Callithrix jacchus: one gene and its partner. The protein of the gene in region 1 purifies or fractionates together with the protein of each later gene. This does not show direct contact. Links are inferred from orthologs where the notes say so. Each region holds a gene or a part of one and is shown on either strand. Other genes may lie near its edges.

Region 1 (7,088 bases):
TCCTAGTGAGGCTTTCGCCACCCGTGCTATCTAAAATAGTAATCCCAGTAACCAGTAGTCCCAGTTCTACTTCCTGTTTTATCTTTCTTGTAGCACTTTATTTTCTGACATGAATTTTACATATTTATCCATGTCCCCTACCAGAATATAAGGTCCCTGAGAACAGAGATTTTTGCTTTGTTCACTAATATATGCCTAGAAGCTAAAATTTTGCTAGTTTGTAGAAGATGTTCAACAGATGTTGAATGAATAAGTTGATAAATGTATGAAGTTATACATATTTAACACAGGGTTAATTTTAAACCTCAGAGCTTCTCATAGGAACATACCAGTCAAAGAAGAAAATATTTTGCAATAAAGTATTAATATGATTTAGTAAACATTTGCTATAGAAACTTTTATGTTTATTGGGGTTTTTTATTATTTGCAGGGTTCAGTTTGGCAAAGACTTGGTGCAGATGTCACAGCAGTTGAATTTTTAGGTCATGTAGGTGGAGTTGGAATTGATATGGAGATATCTAAAAACTTTCAACGCATCCTTCAGAAACAGGGGTTTAAATTTAAATTGAATACAAAGGTTACTGGTGCTACCAAGAAGTCAGATGGAAAAATTGATGTTTCGTAAGTATACATCATTTGTTTTTGATGTATCATCCCTGTCTATTTCTTTAAGCAAAATACTCAAGTTTCAAAATCAGATTAGGAAATACAGGGTATTTTCTAGCATAAGGTCATTATATTGCTTAATATAACTCAGTCGCTTATCAGATTATTGCCTTAGCACGTTGAAATTTATGATTAGGTTAATGCTATAGAAAGATTGATCCAATATTTTCATTGTTGTAATGTACCTTTCTATAGTATTTTCAGAAAAATTTAATTTCCCAATATTCAGTAAATTAAATCACCATGTTTACACAGATACATGGGGAAATCAATAATAAAAGATTGCTTACTATATGTCTGGCACTCTACTGATTAAATACTTTAATGGTATTTAACCTAATAAATTAGTTTTTAAATAAATACTTAAATAGTTAATAGTATTTAAATAGTTTAATTATTAACTTGCTTAATATCACACAGCTAGTGGGTGGCAGTCAGTACTTAAATGTGGATTTTTGTGACTCAAAGACCTATATTCTTAACTGCTGTTTTGTTAGTCTGTGATTTTTGTGAGATTTTATGATAGCTCTCTTTCATTATCTGACTCTTCGATTTACAGTCAAATAAACTTAATTGTTAAAAATGTCATCAATGCTTGAGAAATTTCTGATCTTAAATTTTTATCAATTTATGTAGGTGTGTATTTAACATTTATATACTGTTTGTTATCTAGTATTGAAGCTGCTTCTGGTGGTAAAGCTGAAGTTATCACTTGTGATGTACTCTTAGTTTGCATTGGTCGACGACCCTTTACTAAGAATTTGGGACTAGAAGAGCTGGGAATTGAACTAGATCCCAGAGGTAGAATTCCAGTCAATACCAGATTCCAATCTAAAATTCCAAAGTAAGTTGGACAGTTGTCTGCGTTTTCAGTAATTTTAAAATTGATTTCAAACAGTGTTTCGAAAAGTAAGACTTGTATGCTTAAAATATGTCTTGGCTTTGGGGAAGAATAGTAAACTTACAAAATGTAAAATCAAAAAATAATTGAAGTTTTCCTCAAAGATGAGAAGGTGAATTCATAGATTTTTGAAGAGTTGCATTTGATTTATCTTTTGGTGACTTATTTACTGGAAACTTTTACTTTTGTTACCATGATGTAACTGAAGATAAGTAGCTGTGATTTCAGAAATTCATTTTGTTTCTTTTGATTTCTGTGGTAGTATCTATGCTATTGGTGATGTAGTTGCTGGTCCAATGCTGGCTCACAAAGCAGAGGATGAAGGCATTATCTGTGTTGAAGGAATGGCTGGTGGTGCTGTGCACATTGACTACAATTGTGTGCCATCAGTGATTTATACACACCCTGAAGTTGCTTGGGTTGGCAAATCAGAAGAGCAGTTGAAAGAAGAGGTAACTCTGAACGTGGGTGGTTTTACCCTAGTGTGTGAGTTGTGCCAGTGACAATGGTGGTTGAGAAACAGCATCTTATTACATTAATATATTTCACAGCTGTGAAATATCATTGTTTAGCTTATATGTTTTTCCCTTGTTAGCATTATAAAGAGATTGTTCACAGATTTTTCAGCAGTAATTGAGAGGAGGAGAAGTTGCCTGTATTAAAAAACTAGTAATTCCAAATCTTTTATATTTGGCTTTGAAATATAACCAGATGGACAGACATTTGTATTGGCTTGCATTTGTGCCCAAGATATAGTTCATTAACTATATCTTCATTAACAAGACCTTTGGGTCTTGTATGTACTTTGTGTACAGTTGCCTTCTTGGGATTTATTTCTGATCAAATGGTAGATGATTTTACAAATTGGAATGAACTCTTCCAGCACTTACGTAGATTCTTTTTTTATGTCTCTCACAGGGTATTGAGTACAAAGTTGGGAAATTCCCATTTGCTGCTAACAGCAGAGCTAAGACAAATGCTGACACAGATGGCATGGTGAAGATCCTTGGGCAGAAATCGACCGACAGAGTACTGGGAGCACATATTCTTGGACCAGTGAGTATCGTAAAACCAGAGAAATCCATAAGATTTCTAGAAAGCATTGCTGTTTATTAATTGTAAACCACCTGTTGTTATTTGGAGGTTACTCATTTCCAGCAAAACTTTTGAATATGGCCTCTCTGTGTATCATTTCTAGAAGGATACCAGCAGCACTCTCACAGTCTTGCCCACTGTATCATCTGGTTTCTATACTGGAGCCAAGATTCTGTCTTTAAAATATACACCGGATTATGCCCCTAAAATCCTCCAGTGGTGCTTTTCAACTTCAGATTGTTACATACAGCGCCTCACTGAATCTGTTTGTGCCTACATTTCTGACCTCTTCTCTTTCTCCTCTCCTTTGCTGATTAATTCTGTGTGACATGGACCTTCTCTCATTTTCACAAGAGGCCAAATGTTTGAATTTTAGGGCCTTTGTGCTTGAGGTACCCTCTGCTTAGACTGTTGTGGCTCCACATCTTTGAATTGCTGGCTCCTTATTGTTTAGGTCTCATCTCAAATGTTACCTCCTAAGGGAAACCTTTCCTACCACTGAGGCTAAAGTATGTTATCTTTCTTGTAGATATCTCCTGTATCTGATATAACAATAAGGAGAATAGAATATTTGAGTGCTCACTGTGTCACTTTAGTATACATTTTGTTATTTTTACAACAGCTTTGTGAGATACATGCTGTTATTTTTGAGGTGAAGAAACTGAAGGAAGCACACAGAACCAGTGAATGGGTAAAGTAGTAAATGGTAGATACGAATCGAAAACCATTTGGCTCCAAAGCCCAGGTTCTTCTGTGTCACCTTTTCTGTTGTTTTTTCTGACTTTCTTTCAGCTGATACAGAAACAGATTTAAGGCGATTTTCAGATCTAAAAGCTTCCTCTCTTAACCATTGCTATCCTATTAGCATGTAGTTTTTGTCATGGAAGCAAATTTACTTGGCTTGTTATTTTAAAGGGTGCTGGAGAAATGGTAAATGAAGCTGCTCTTGCTTTGGAATATGGAGCATCCTGTGAAGATATAGCTAGAGTCTGTCATGCACATCCGGTAATTATTAACAACATAAAGAATTGATGGTTGCCTGAATTTTCTTCTAACCCACAAATACTTGGTTTTTAATTCTAAATTTCTTCCCTTGCAGACCTTATCAGAAGCTTTTAGAGAAGCAAATCTTGCTGCGTCATTTGGCAAATCAATCAACTTTTGAATTAGAAGATTATATATATTTTTTCTGAAATTTTCTGGGAGCTTTTGTAGAAGTCACATTCCTGGACAGGATATGCACACAGCTCCAAGAATTTCTAGGACTGAATTATGAAACTTTTGGAAGGTATTTAATAGGTTTGGACAGATGGAATACTCATATCTATATTTTACATATATTTAGTATTTTGTTTCAGTGCACTCATATGTAAGACAAAAAGCTACTTACTGTACCTGGAATATCTCCGTCAACTCCTATTTTCATGCTGTTCATGAAAGATTCAATGCCACTGAATTTAAGTAGTTTTTTTTTCTCTGATATAGAAAAGTTGAATTTTACACAGATGGAGCTAGAATTTGATCTTTGAACAGTTGTGTTTGAAGCAAAGTGATCAAGATATTTTTAATTTGGTTTTCATATTGGAAACAAGTCAGTCATTCAAACAAGATTCAGCTGTCTATAAACCAAATAATGTAAGTCAAAAAGGGTCTCTCACTTATTTAACCCCTAAATTCTTGCAGTTAAGGGGTAGAATTTATGTGTTTAAGAGGTTTTTAAGATTCCATTGTTGTCTATAACTCTGAAGGGTAATTATATAGTTACCCAAATTAAGAGAGTCTATTTACAGGACTCAAATATTACGTGTGGATTCAAATGTATTACAATGGGGAATGAAGATACTGAAATAAACGTCTTAAATATTCATTTATTGGTTGTTATGAGTACGTGTTGAGATGGTTGTAGTTTTTTTTTCTTTTTATGACTACCTCTAGTGTATGTTCTTATTTCTTTTGTAGGCCTGAATGTATCTTTATTTTCATGTTATGTGACAATATTAAGGTATTTTAAAGTCATTGTCCTTTCATCTATTTTAGAGACACCTAGTAAATGTTTAACATATGCTTTTGGAGAAGTACAACATAAGGGAGTCTTTAATCTGTTTTCCTTGGCTGGGTAAATGACTTTATTTAAAGAGTATTATAAAGTTGCGTCTATGGTGTTTAAAATGGCCATGTCCTGTGAAACTTAAGTAACAGAGTACTAAATGCTAAGTAGGCTTTTGCATATTATAACTAAATTTAAGAATGATATTCATTAAGTAGTTCTGAAATTTAGTATAGATAGCATAGATTGTCTAATGCTCATTATGAGTGGCGTATAGTAAACACCCTGGATTCTGTTACATACTTCTGAAGAAAATTGATTGTTGTCTTAGTAGGCAGTTAATTTGGCTGAACACCACCTCCAAACCCTGTAGGTGGTAGCAGCTGAAATCTCTTCTCAGTTGTTTTAGATTTACCTATGCTGCTGGAAGTCTTTCCGATGCAAGTGTATAGTTCAGTAGTCAACCAGAGGTTGGGCAGAAGAAAGTCTGCCCCTTCTTTTCCCTCTTATTTTTCTGGGGTTTTCCCCTTTATGTTCCAGCTGTTGTGGTCGCCCCATATTCTGTCCTCTGATCCTTATCCAATAAAACTTGGCTTTTGTTTCCCCCTCAAGTCAAAACCTATTAAAAATGAGACTTTGAGCCAGTGCTGTTCACTTTTTAAGTGCCAGCTCCTCTCTGCTTTTCACCTGTTTATAGTTGTTTTCCAGTGCCTTTACAGTTTTTTCTAAAATGTGTTTTGTTCAGAGTTTGCAGTTGCTGTCAGCAGGAGGGTTGGTCCGATATGTGCTACTTCGCCATTACTGGAAGTGAACGCTGCATCTTTTTAAAAATCTGAAATCCCAGTATCGTGTCAAGTGCTAGTTTATTTAAATCTCAACATGTCTCTTACTCAGGGAAAAATAAGTTTCTAGTTAGGGAGTAGTGAAATATAATTTAACATGGAATCCTAGCTCTAGGGACACAAAATAGTTAAATCCATATTTAAGTGTTTACATTCAATATGAGAATGAAATATATTTGGGTGGGGAATGAAGTCCTAAGAATAAAACAAGTTTTAAATGTTTACTTACTGTTGTCTACTAAGCTCTCAATATTTTCGTGGCTTGTGAAGGCAGATTATCCACTTCATTGAACTGATTAAAATTAGTAATTTCAACTGGCATGGAGCAGTGGCTTACTCCTGTAATCCCAGCAGTTTGGAAGGCTAAGGTAGGTGGATCACTTGAGGTCAGGAGTTTGAGACCAGTCTTGCCAATATGGTAAAACCCTGCTTCTACTAAAAATATAAAAATTAGCCTGGTGTGATGGTAGGTGCCTGTAATCCCAACTACTCATGAGGCTGAGACAGGAGAATCACTTGAACCCTGGAGGCTTAGGTTGCCGTAAGCCAAGATCACACCACTGCACTCCAGCCTGGGGGACAAGAGCGAAACTCCGCCTCAAAAAAAAAAAAAAATTAATTTCAAAGTGAGATCTTTAGTTGTTTAGCTGAAAAGGAATGGGGAGTGTTTCTACTATTTTAAGTAAAATACTTAATATAGTTACTGTAGTAGATGATAAGTTATGACCATTTTGCCAGTTACTAGGATTCTTTTATATATATATATAATATAATGTATATGTTATATACATTATATATGTTATATATATTATGTTAAATATATCAAATATATATATTATATATAAAATATATATAATATATATATATTATATATAAAATATATACTTTAAGTTCTGGGGTACATGTGTAGAACCTGCAGGTTTGTTACATAGGTATACGTGTGCTCTGGTGGTTTGCGATACCCATTAACCCATCACCTACATTAGGTATTTCTCCTAATGCTATTTCTCCCCTGGCCCTCCACCCCTAACAGGTCCCGGTGTGTGATGTTCCCCTCCCTGTGTCCATGTATTCTCATTGTTCAACTTCCACTTAGAGAACATGCAGTGTTTGGTTGTCTGTTCTTGTCAGTTTGCTGAGAATGATGGTTTCCAGCTTCATCCACGTCCCTGCAAAGGACATGAACTCACCCATTTTTACGGCTGCATAGTATTATGGTGTATATGTGCAACGTTTTCTTTATCCAGTCTATCATTGATGGACATTTGGTTTGGGTCCAAGTCTTTGCTCTTGTAAACAGTGCTGCAGTAAACATATGTGTGCATGTGTCTTTATAGAATGATTGATAATCCTTTGGATATATACCCAGTAATGAAATTGCTGGATCAAATGGAATTTCTATTTCTAGATCCTTGAGGAATCGCCACACTGTCTTCCACAATGGTTGAACTAATTTACACTCCCACCAACAGTGTAAAGGGTTCCTGTTTCTCTACATCCTCTCTATCTAGCATCTGCTGTTTCATGACTTTTTAAT
Region 2 (8,084 bases), about 66 Mb from region 1:
AACCCTTGCTCTGCAGCAAGTGAATTTTAATTTAAAATCCTATTGTCAGTTGTTTCACAGTTGGCTGCACGGTGACTTAAAATGATCTCAGTGTCCTGTGCTGGCATTTTCTGTAGTTTGTGATGAGCATCCTGAAGTATTGTCAGCATCTCAGCTTGGAGCTGCTCCACTGCTTGCCTTCCTCACTTACAGGGAAGAAAGGGGTGGAAACCAGACCTCTGTGCCAGCATCAGAAGGTTGTTGGCTAATGGGACATACTGGGCACCAGGAGGGAGTGATAAGTGTTAATCCAAGGAGAATGAACTTTGTGTCCTTCCTGTCACCTTTATCTGCACCACATCATCACACTGACCCTAGTCTCTATTCTGCCTGCTGGCCACATGTTAACTATTGAGCACTTGAAATGTACAAAATATTTGACTTCTAAATGTTGAAAAAATAATGTTTGATATATTGGGTCAAATAAAATGGGAAAATTTCATGTGGGTCTTCTAGAAAAACAAATTACATATGTGGCTCACATTATATTTCTATTGAATGTTGCCAATCTATAGAAGTTTTTGTGTTGCCTGGACCCCCACAAATGGCACCCTATATAGCCTCTCCAAGTAGCCCTGCCCCAAATTATCTCACTGTTGGTGTGTTCCACTCAGTTCTCTCAGTGTATTTCCTGATACAGCAGCCGTCTGGTGAATATAGTCTGCACTGCGAGCGGACTCAGCATTAGCACCTTTTACCTCAGAGGGGTCCTCTTGTGGGGAGTCCAGCAGCAGGCAGCTCAGCCTTTTTTTTTTTTTTTTTAAGACCGGTTCTCACTCTCTGTTGCCCAGGCTGGAGCGCAGTGACACAATCACGGCTCACTGAAGTCTCAACCTCCTGGTATAAAGCAGTCCCCCTACCTAAGCCTCCCGAGTAGCTGGGACTATAGGAGAGCACTACCATGCCTGGCTAATTTTTCTATTTTTTGTAAAGCCGGGATCTCACCATGTTGCCCAGGCTAGTCTTGAACTCCTGGACTCAAGTGATCCTCTTTCCTCAGCCTCTCAAAGTGCAGGGATTACAGGCATGAGCCACTATGCCTGGCCCCAGAAGCTTATTCTTAAACATGGTCTCACAATGGAAAGTTTCCATGGGGTCACTGTCTCCATATCATGCCATGGTGTCACCTCTCGGGGGCCTCTTCAGTACCTTCCTTCTCAAAGAGCAGAATGAGGGGCAGAGGCATTGATGTCCCTATGGCCAACTTCCTCTCTGAATCTTGAATCCCAGGTAGTTCCGATTTCATCATATGAAGGGGTGGAGGGCCTGAAGCATGTTGAAGGCCTGTCTCCCTTTCAGTCCACTTGATGCCAGAGCCCTGGAGTTGGCTCTCATTGTCTGGGACAGTTGGACCTGTACCTTAGGAGTCTCAGGCCATACACCCTCCTGGCCTCAGAGTGGCCCCAACTTGGAAGACTCCATTTCCACAACAGTTTACAGACATTTGCATAAACTCCTCATCTCCCTGCCTGATGGTGATGCTTTACTTACATTGAATGTGTGTGTATGTTAGATTGGTGGTATAATCAGACAGATCTTAAGCTGTTGATCATGTGACATGGTGGTCAATTTGTAGCTGTTTTTAAAAATTAGAGGAGATTCAACTTCTTGGCTTCCTAAAATTTTTCTCATAAGCGGGAAAAGCAAAGAATCAGCCCCTGAAACTTGCTGCCCTTTTCTCCTGGAGACAGAGCCAAGAACAAAGAAAACACAACACGATTCTGTGGCCCAGTAACTACATCTCCAAGTTACTTGCTAAAGTAATACTGATGTTGGAGAGATACTGATTTCTAGAGTTTTTAACCCAATAGTTTCTTTTGTTCAATAATGGAAACTCTGCTGCTGTCAGGTGTAAAAGGGAGAGGAAAGGCATGGGCAGAGCCTGGGCGTAGCACAGTTCTACCAGCTCTGTAATTGGAGACAGCAGTAGTGATGAAGGGAAGAGTTCTTCCCTCACAGCACCCTTCACCCGTTGGCATTTGGGGTCGGGATGATGAGGAGTGGGCAGACAGCCAGTTGCTGGGTTTGCACCACAAGCATGGACCCCATCCAAAGAGGGTGGGTCCTCTTTGAAGGTTCTCATTAACAGCCACTCTGGAGCTGACCTTGTCTTCTTGAATGGGTTTCTGCAGAAATGTAGTTTCTTCTCCTGTTCAGTAGATTGGGCACTGTGGATCACCAAGTGTCTGTAAAGGTGACATGGGACAGTGGACTGATGTCAACTCTGAAGTTAGGGATTGGGGGTGCCCACTACACCCTCTTCTTGGTTTTTTTGTGCATCTAATGTAGAAGTTTATCTTAGTTTTATCTTAGATGTGATTAGAAAATATGGTTTGGGATTGTCTTAGTCCATTTTGTATTGCTATAAAGGAATACCTGAGGTTGGATAATTTATAGTTTATAAAGAAAAAGGGTTTATTTGGCTCACAGTCTAATTGGGCATCTGCATTTGGTGAGGGCCTCAGGCTACTTCCACTCCCAGCAGAAGGCAAAGGGGAGCCTGCTTGTGCAGAGGTCACATGGTGGGAGGGGAAGCAAGAGAGTGAGCCGGGAGGTGCCAGGCTCTTTTTAGCAGCCAGCTCTCCTAGGAACTAATAGAGCAAAAACTTACTCACCTCTGAAGGAGGGCATTAATGTATTCATGAGGGATCCACCCCAGAACCAAAACATCATCCATGTGGGCCCACTTCCAACATTGGGGACCAAATTTCAGCATGAGGTTTGTGGGGGGACAAACAGGGGTTAATAAAAATACCTTAACTACTAGGGTCTTTTCTTTTTTTTTGAGACGGAGTTTCGCTCTTGTTACCCAGGTTGGAGTGCAATGGCGCAATCTTGGCTCACTGCAACCTCCACCTCCTGGGTTCAGGCAATTCTCCTGCCTCAGCCTCCCGAGTAGCTGGGATTACACGCACACGCCACCATGCCCAGCTAATTTTTTGTACTTTTAGTAGAGACGGGGTTTCACATGTTGACCAGGATGGTCTTGATCTCTTGACCTTGTGATCCACCCGCCTCGGCCTCCCAAAGTGCTGGGATTACAGGCTTGAGCCACCGCGCCCGGCCTACTAGGGTCTTTTCTAGCAGCACTTTCTCTTCTAGTTTCTAGGCAAGATTGTTCTTTTGTTGACTTGGATAATAACTAGAGTGTTGCAGTTGGTTAATTTTGAATTCAGGCAAAGTTTGCTTTGTTTCATGATCATGGAGCATGTATGCAGGGTTAGCCCACCCTCTGCAAAGCACAGGGCTGGTCTCAGATTCAGCACATCTTTTAACTGCTCATGCCAGCTGGTCTCATTGTCTGTTGTGAAAACCAAATGTGGTCATAAACGAGAGCTGCTGAGCAGGACCTGACACTCTGAGTACGCTGGCAGCAGTCCCTGCTATAAAGATAGTTAGACGCGGCTTTGGGGTCTGCAGAGTGTCTGTTGGCCCACATCAGGGCCTGTCGCCTTTTTACTCCATGCTGACTTGCAGTTTGCTCTCATCCTTTCATTCTGGTCCTCTAGGGCAGCTGTGCAGGTTGAGCTGTGGGCCTCTACAGGAGCACCAGGCTGAGGGCAGCCTGAGATGGATTTTTTTTTTTTTTTTTGGCAGTCTTTCCTCCTCTCCCGAGGTGGATTTCTAAGAGCCCAGTGCCTCCTCTTGCTCCTGGCCCTCTCTTCCTGGCTTCTTCCCTCCTGAGCTCTGCAGATTGGGTGCTGCCTCCTTGCCTGAGCTGTGGGGTATGAACATGGTGCAGGACATCTTGATCTGCTCAGGATCCTGACTTTTGTCTTATGGGCAGTCTTGCTTCCTGAGGCAGAAGGATCATTTTAGCCGAGGAGTTCAAGACCAGCCTGGGCATCATGGTGAGACCTCATCTCTCCAAAACATAAGGCGGGACGATCACTTGAGTGCAAGAGGTTGAGGCTGCATTGGGCCCAGATAGCGCTACTGCACTCCTGCCTCAGTGACAGAGAGACCCTCCCTCAAACAAACAAACAAACAAAAAGACTGCGAATCGTAAACAGCTATTGAGCCTATGACAGCCTATGGGCATTTCCTGTTATGGATGCTGGCACAGGTCTGACCTTGATGACAGTCTGTCCTCCCTGGGGAAGGACACAGTTCCACAACTGTTGCGGTCTATGCTTCTTGCCACAAAGGTACCAGAGTAGAACTGGGGTTGTTCCTTGTCCTGGCCCTTGGAGGGCTAGGAGGTTCTTGTGTGCAAGTGACCCAGGTCCCTGAAGGAAGCACTTGAAGAGGAGGACCTCTGCCTGGTACCCACTCCGTCTCCCCCTCAGTCATACCTGACTGGGGTACCTTTCAGAACAAGCCTCCTGCTCCCCCTCCCACCTTCTGGCTGAACAGGCAGTCGGTACTCTTGATTCAGCCAGGCCTGGTTAGAAACTCCCTTGCCTGTGTGTTTCTGTATGGAATAGATGGCCTACTGCCAGCACATTGGGGTGGAGTTCATGTTCATCAATGACCTGGAGCAGTGCCAGTGGATCCGGCAGAAGTTTGAGACCCCCGGGATCATGCAGTTCACAAATGAGGAGAAGCGGACCCTGCTGGCCAGGCTTGTGCGGTCCACCAGGTATGGGTCTGGCCCTGGGCCATGGGGCACACATCCCCAGGGAAGCAGCAGCCCTGTGTGTGTTGTTTGGGCCTGTGTGCAGCCTGTTGGTCGAGGTGAGAGGGGCTTTGGGGAGGTATAGGCAAAGCTGCAGCTGCACGTGTCTGAAGAGACACCAGGCAGGTAGAGTCAGCCTTCAGAGCAACCTCCGTCTCCTGAGTTCAAGCGATTCTCTTGCCTCAGCCTCCCAGTAGCAGTGATTGTAGGCACATGCCACTACGGCCAGCTAATTTTTATCCATTTAAGTAGAGATCAGGTTTCTCTATGTTGGCCAGGCTGGTCTCAAATTCCTGACCTCATGTGATCTGTCCACCTTGGCCTCCCAAAGTGCTAGCATTACTCCCAAAGTGCAGTGAGCCACTGTGCCTGGCCCAGAGCCCCCTCTTTTTGGTCAGGAAGAGTGACATTGTTCTTCAAGGTGACTTTATTCCATGTCCAGGTTTGAGGAGTTCCTACAGCGGAAGTGGTCCTCTGAGAAGCGCTTTGGTCTAGAAGGCTGTGAGGTGCTGATTCCTGCCCTCAAGACCATCATTGACAAGTCAAGTGAGAACGGTGTGGACTACGTGATCATGGGCATGCCACACAGGTATGGCTGAGGGCGTGCCCCACCTCCTTCTCACCATCCCTGCAGGGTGTGTAGGAGGCACCAGGTAAAGAACTGAGAGAACAGCTGTTTCCTTCTCAAGTGCCAGTTGTGAGCCTGGGCTCATCTGATACCTGCGGGTGCCTTGTTTTGCAGGGGATTCTCACATTCCCTACCTCTGGAAGACTGCAAAGTCACTGTCACAGCCAGAGCCACGTGTAGTTTCAGACTGGCATTTGGCCTTACATTACATTTTTATGAAAGTTAAACCCAGGTTCCCTTGAGGGTTAAGCTGGAGGAAAGGCTGCTTCCTGACATTGGAGGGGAGGCCAAGACTTCAAAAATCGGAGATAGTGTGGGGAGGGAGGAGGGTAAGGAAGCCTCAGGCCCATGGCATTTCCACATCTTCTGCCTTTCTGTTGTCCACTGTGGCCTTGATTGTCTAGCACAGAGAGGCTCAGTGCCCACATTAGCTCCAGTTCACAGCATTCTTGGGCTGCAAACCGAGGAGGTGCTGTGTCCTGGAGGAGGGGAAGAGGGTAGGGATTATAACAGCCTCCCCGTCATCTGGAAGCCGTGACCTCGGGCTCTGCTCACTCTACTCGCCCATACGTTTCAGAGGGCGGCTTAACGTGCTTGCAAATGTCATCAGGAAGGAGCTGGAACAGATCTTCTGTCAATTTGATTCAAAGCTGGAGGCAGCTGATGAGGTGAGGCACCTGTGTAGAGACACATCCAGCAGAGCCCCAACTTACACGAGACCCCCGGCTCCACTTCTTTCTCAGAATAACTTATGAGGGGTTGATTCTTCTGTACCATTGTGGTTTGCCTTCCTTGTTGGAAGAATTTTAGTGTTGGAACAAAGGAGGGGGCCACTGTTCCACCTTCTGGTTGGAGGTCTAGCAGCGCCACGCTGAGTGCAGGGGTATATCCCCTCTGGCTGAGGGACCTTCTCCCTGTGCCCTGGGTAGGAATGATCCTGGGAAAAAGCCTCCATATTCTTCTACGTTGGGTTCCTGGGGTTAGAAATCACATATAAGGCTAGGCACAGTGGCTCACGCCTGTAATCCCAGCACTTTGGGAGGCTGAGGCAGGCTGATCACCTAAGGTTGTGAGTTCCAGACCAGCCTGACCAACGTGGAGAAACCCTGTCTCTACTAAAACACAAAATTAATCAGCATGGTGGCACATGCCTGTAATCTCAGCTACTTCGGAGACTGAGGTAGGAGAATTGCTTGAACCTGGGAGGCGGAGGTTGCGGTGAGCCAAGATTGCGCCATTGCACTCTACCTGGGCAACAAGAATGAAACTCTGTCTCAAAAATATGTATATATTTTTTTAAATTCCATATAAAATGGCTCTTTTGGAGACTGAGTGTCTTTTTGTCCAGGGTGCAAATTCACTGTTTACTCCATCAGGGCTCTGGAGATGTGAAGTACCACCTGGGTATGTATCACCGCAGGATCAACCGTGTGACCGACAGGAACATTACCCTGTCCCTGGTGGCCAACCCTTCCCACCTTGAAGCCGCTGACCCTGTGGTAATGGGCAAGACCAAAGCTGAGCAGTTTTACTGTGGGGACACTGAAGGGAAAAAGGTAAGGCCCAGAGAGAGGCGTGCAAGGCAGATCGTCGAGGCCCCATGTTCTAGCACGCAGTTCTGCTCACCAACATAACCCAGAGTCCTGGGTACATCTGGACTTTAAAAAAAATTTAAAGTCAACTTTAAAAGAATAGCAATAGTAAAATCGTCCTGCTTACAACGTGCCTTCTCCTGAAGTTGTAATCATCAGAACTATGTGGGGAGTGTGCTTTTGTCTTCATATCTGTGAAGGAGTCAGGTTTACAGTTATTCTGAATGGACGAAGAGATGTTTTCACTGAAAAGGAGGAGAGTTGGAGAGTCTCTAAGGAGAAAGTGCAGGTTAGCCTGAAGGAGAAATTGTAGAACTGAGACTTGTCAGGAAAGTCAGGCTTGCTCTGATCAGAGGCAGGAGTTCACAGGGCTGGTAGGAGACAGACCAGGGCATAGGCTGCACCTAGGTGGCCTACTTCACCATCTGAGTGCTGGGGGTTGCTTGCCAGCCTGCTTGTGTAGAAATAGTCTCAACAGATTGTAACTGTTTGCCCTTATTTAACCTCAAGATCCAATCTTGTCTAACAAATTTTATAGTTCTCATTAATGATGACTTAAATAATTAGAAAAAAATCAAATATTTGTAAGGTCTCGTATATGGGGTCTGGGAAACAAACAAAGAAGACATCATCACCTTTCTAGAGCCTCCTATTCTTTTTAGAAAAAGGATCATGTGTAAGGAAGCAAATAGCACATACAGAGCATGATAGGAAACTGTGGAGTTAGCCGCCAAGAGCTTTGGAAGAGGTATGCAGGGGTGTGGGCTAGAGTTGGACCAAGGATAGAAAGCAGACCCCCTTATCAGCAGAGCAGGTAGTCGTCATTTTATTTGAGAAGTGGCAGGATTTAGGTAGGTGGGAAGGTAAGAATGTTTTCTGGAGATGAAAGGTTAAGAGCAGAGACGCAGGGTGACTTGGGGACACAAAGCAGGGAGGGGCCAGCCTCCTAGTTGTGCCCCTGGAAAGAGGTCAGATCTATATTAGAAGTGGAACCAATTATTAGTTTACTGGGTTCTGTAATTTTACTACTGTCATGCTTAGAGGGTTAGAGGAAGAGAAACTGCCATCATAGGTAATGGAGTCTGGGCTGGGGAAGTGATCCCCCCGTCGATCAATGCTCGCTGTAAAGAACGAGCGTGAGCCACAGGGACGCAGAGGTCATTCCATGGCTTCAAGCTCATGGGGCCAGGACAGTGTCAGAAACTTC

The links. Proteins that work in one complex are often made in the same cells at the same time.
Region 2: the proteins of DLD (region 1) and OGDH purify together in Homo sapiens (affinity purification with mass spectrometry; 3 studies listed by BioGRID and IntAct, counting the BioPlex papers as one, with this or other methods). This does not show direct contact. The link is inferred for Callithrix jacchus from reciprocal best matches to the Homo sapiens genes DLD and OGDH.

Annotation. Positions count from the first base shown.
Region 1 is NC_133512.1:78,371,082-78,378,169, forward strand, and holds the end of DLD (dihydrolipoyl dehydrogenase, mitochondrial), read left to right. Parts: intron 1-430; coding exon 431-621; intron 622-1,339; coding exon 1,340-1,510; intron 1,511-1,829; coding exon 1,830-2,019; intron 2,020-2,485; coding exon 2,486-2,623; intron 2,624-3,577; coding exon 3,578-3,667; intron 3,668-3,761; coding exon 3,762-3,827; 3' UTR 3,828-4,529; downstream 4,530-7,088. UniProt on the Homo sapiens protein: Lipoamide dehydrogenase is a component of the glycine cleavage system as well as an E3 component of three alpha-ketoacid dehydrogenase complexes (pyruvate-, alpha-ketoglutarate-, and branched-chain amino acid-dehydrogenase complex).
Region 2 is NC_133512.1:12,755,903-12,763,986, forward strand, and holds part of OGDH (2-oxoglutarate dehydrogenase complex component E1), read left to right. Parts: intron 1-4,466; coding exon 4,467-4,621; intron 4,622-5,099; coding exon 5,100-5,246; intron 5,247-5,862; coding exon 5,863-5,953; intron 5,954-6,661; coding exon 6,662-6,841; intron 6,842-8,084. UniProt on the Homo sapiens protein: 2-oxoglutarate dehydrogenase (E1o) component of the 2-oxoglutarate dehydrogenase complex (OGDHC). Participates in the first step, rate limiting for the overall conversion of 2-oxoglutarate to succinyl-CoA and CO(2) catalyzed by the whole OGDHC.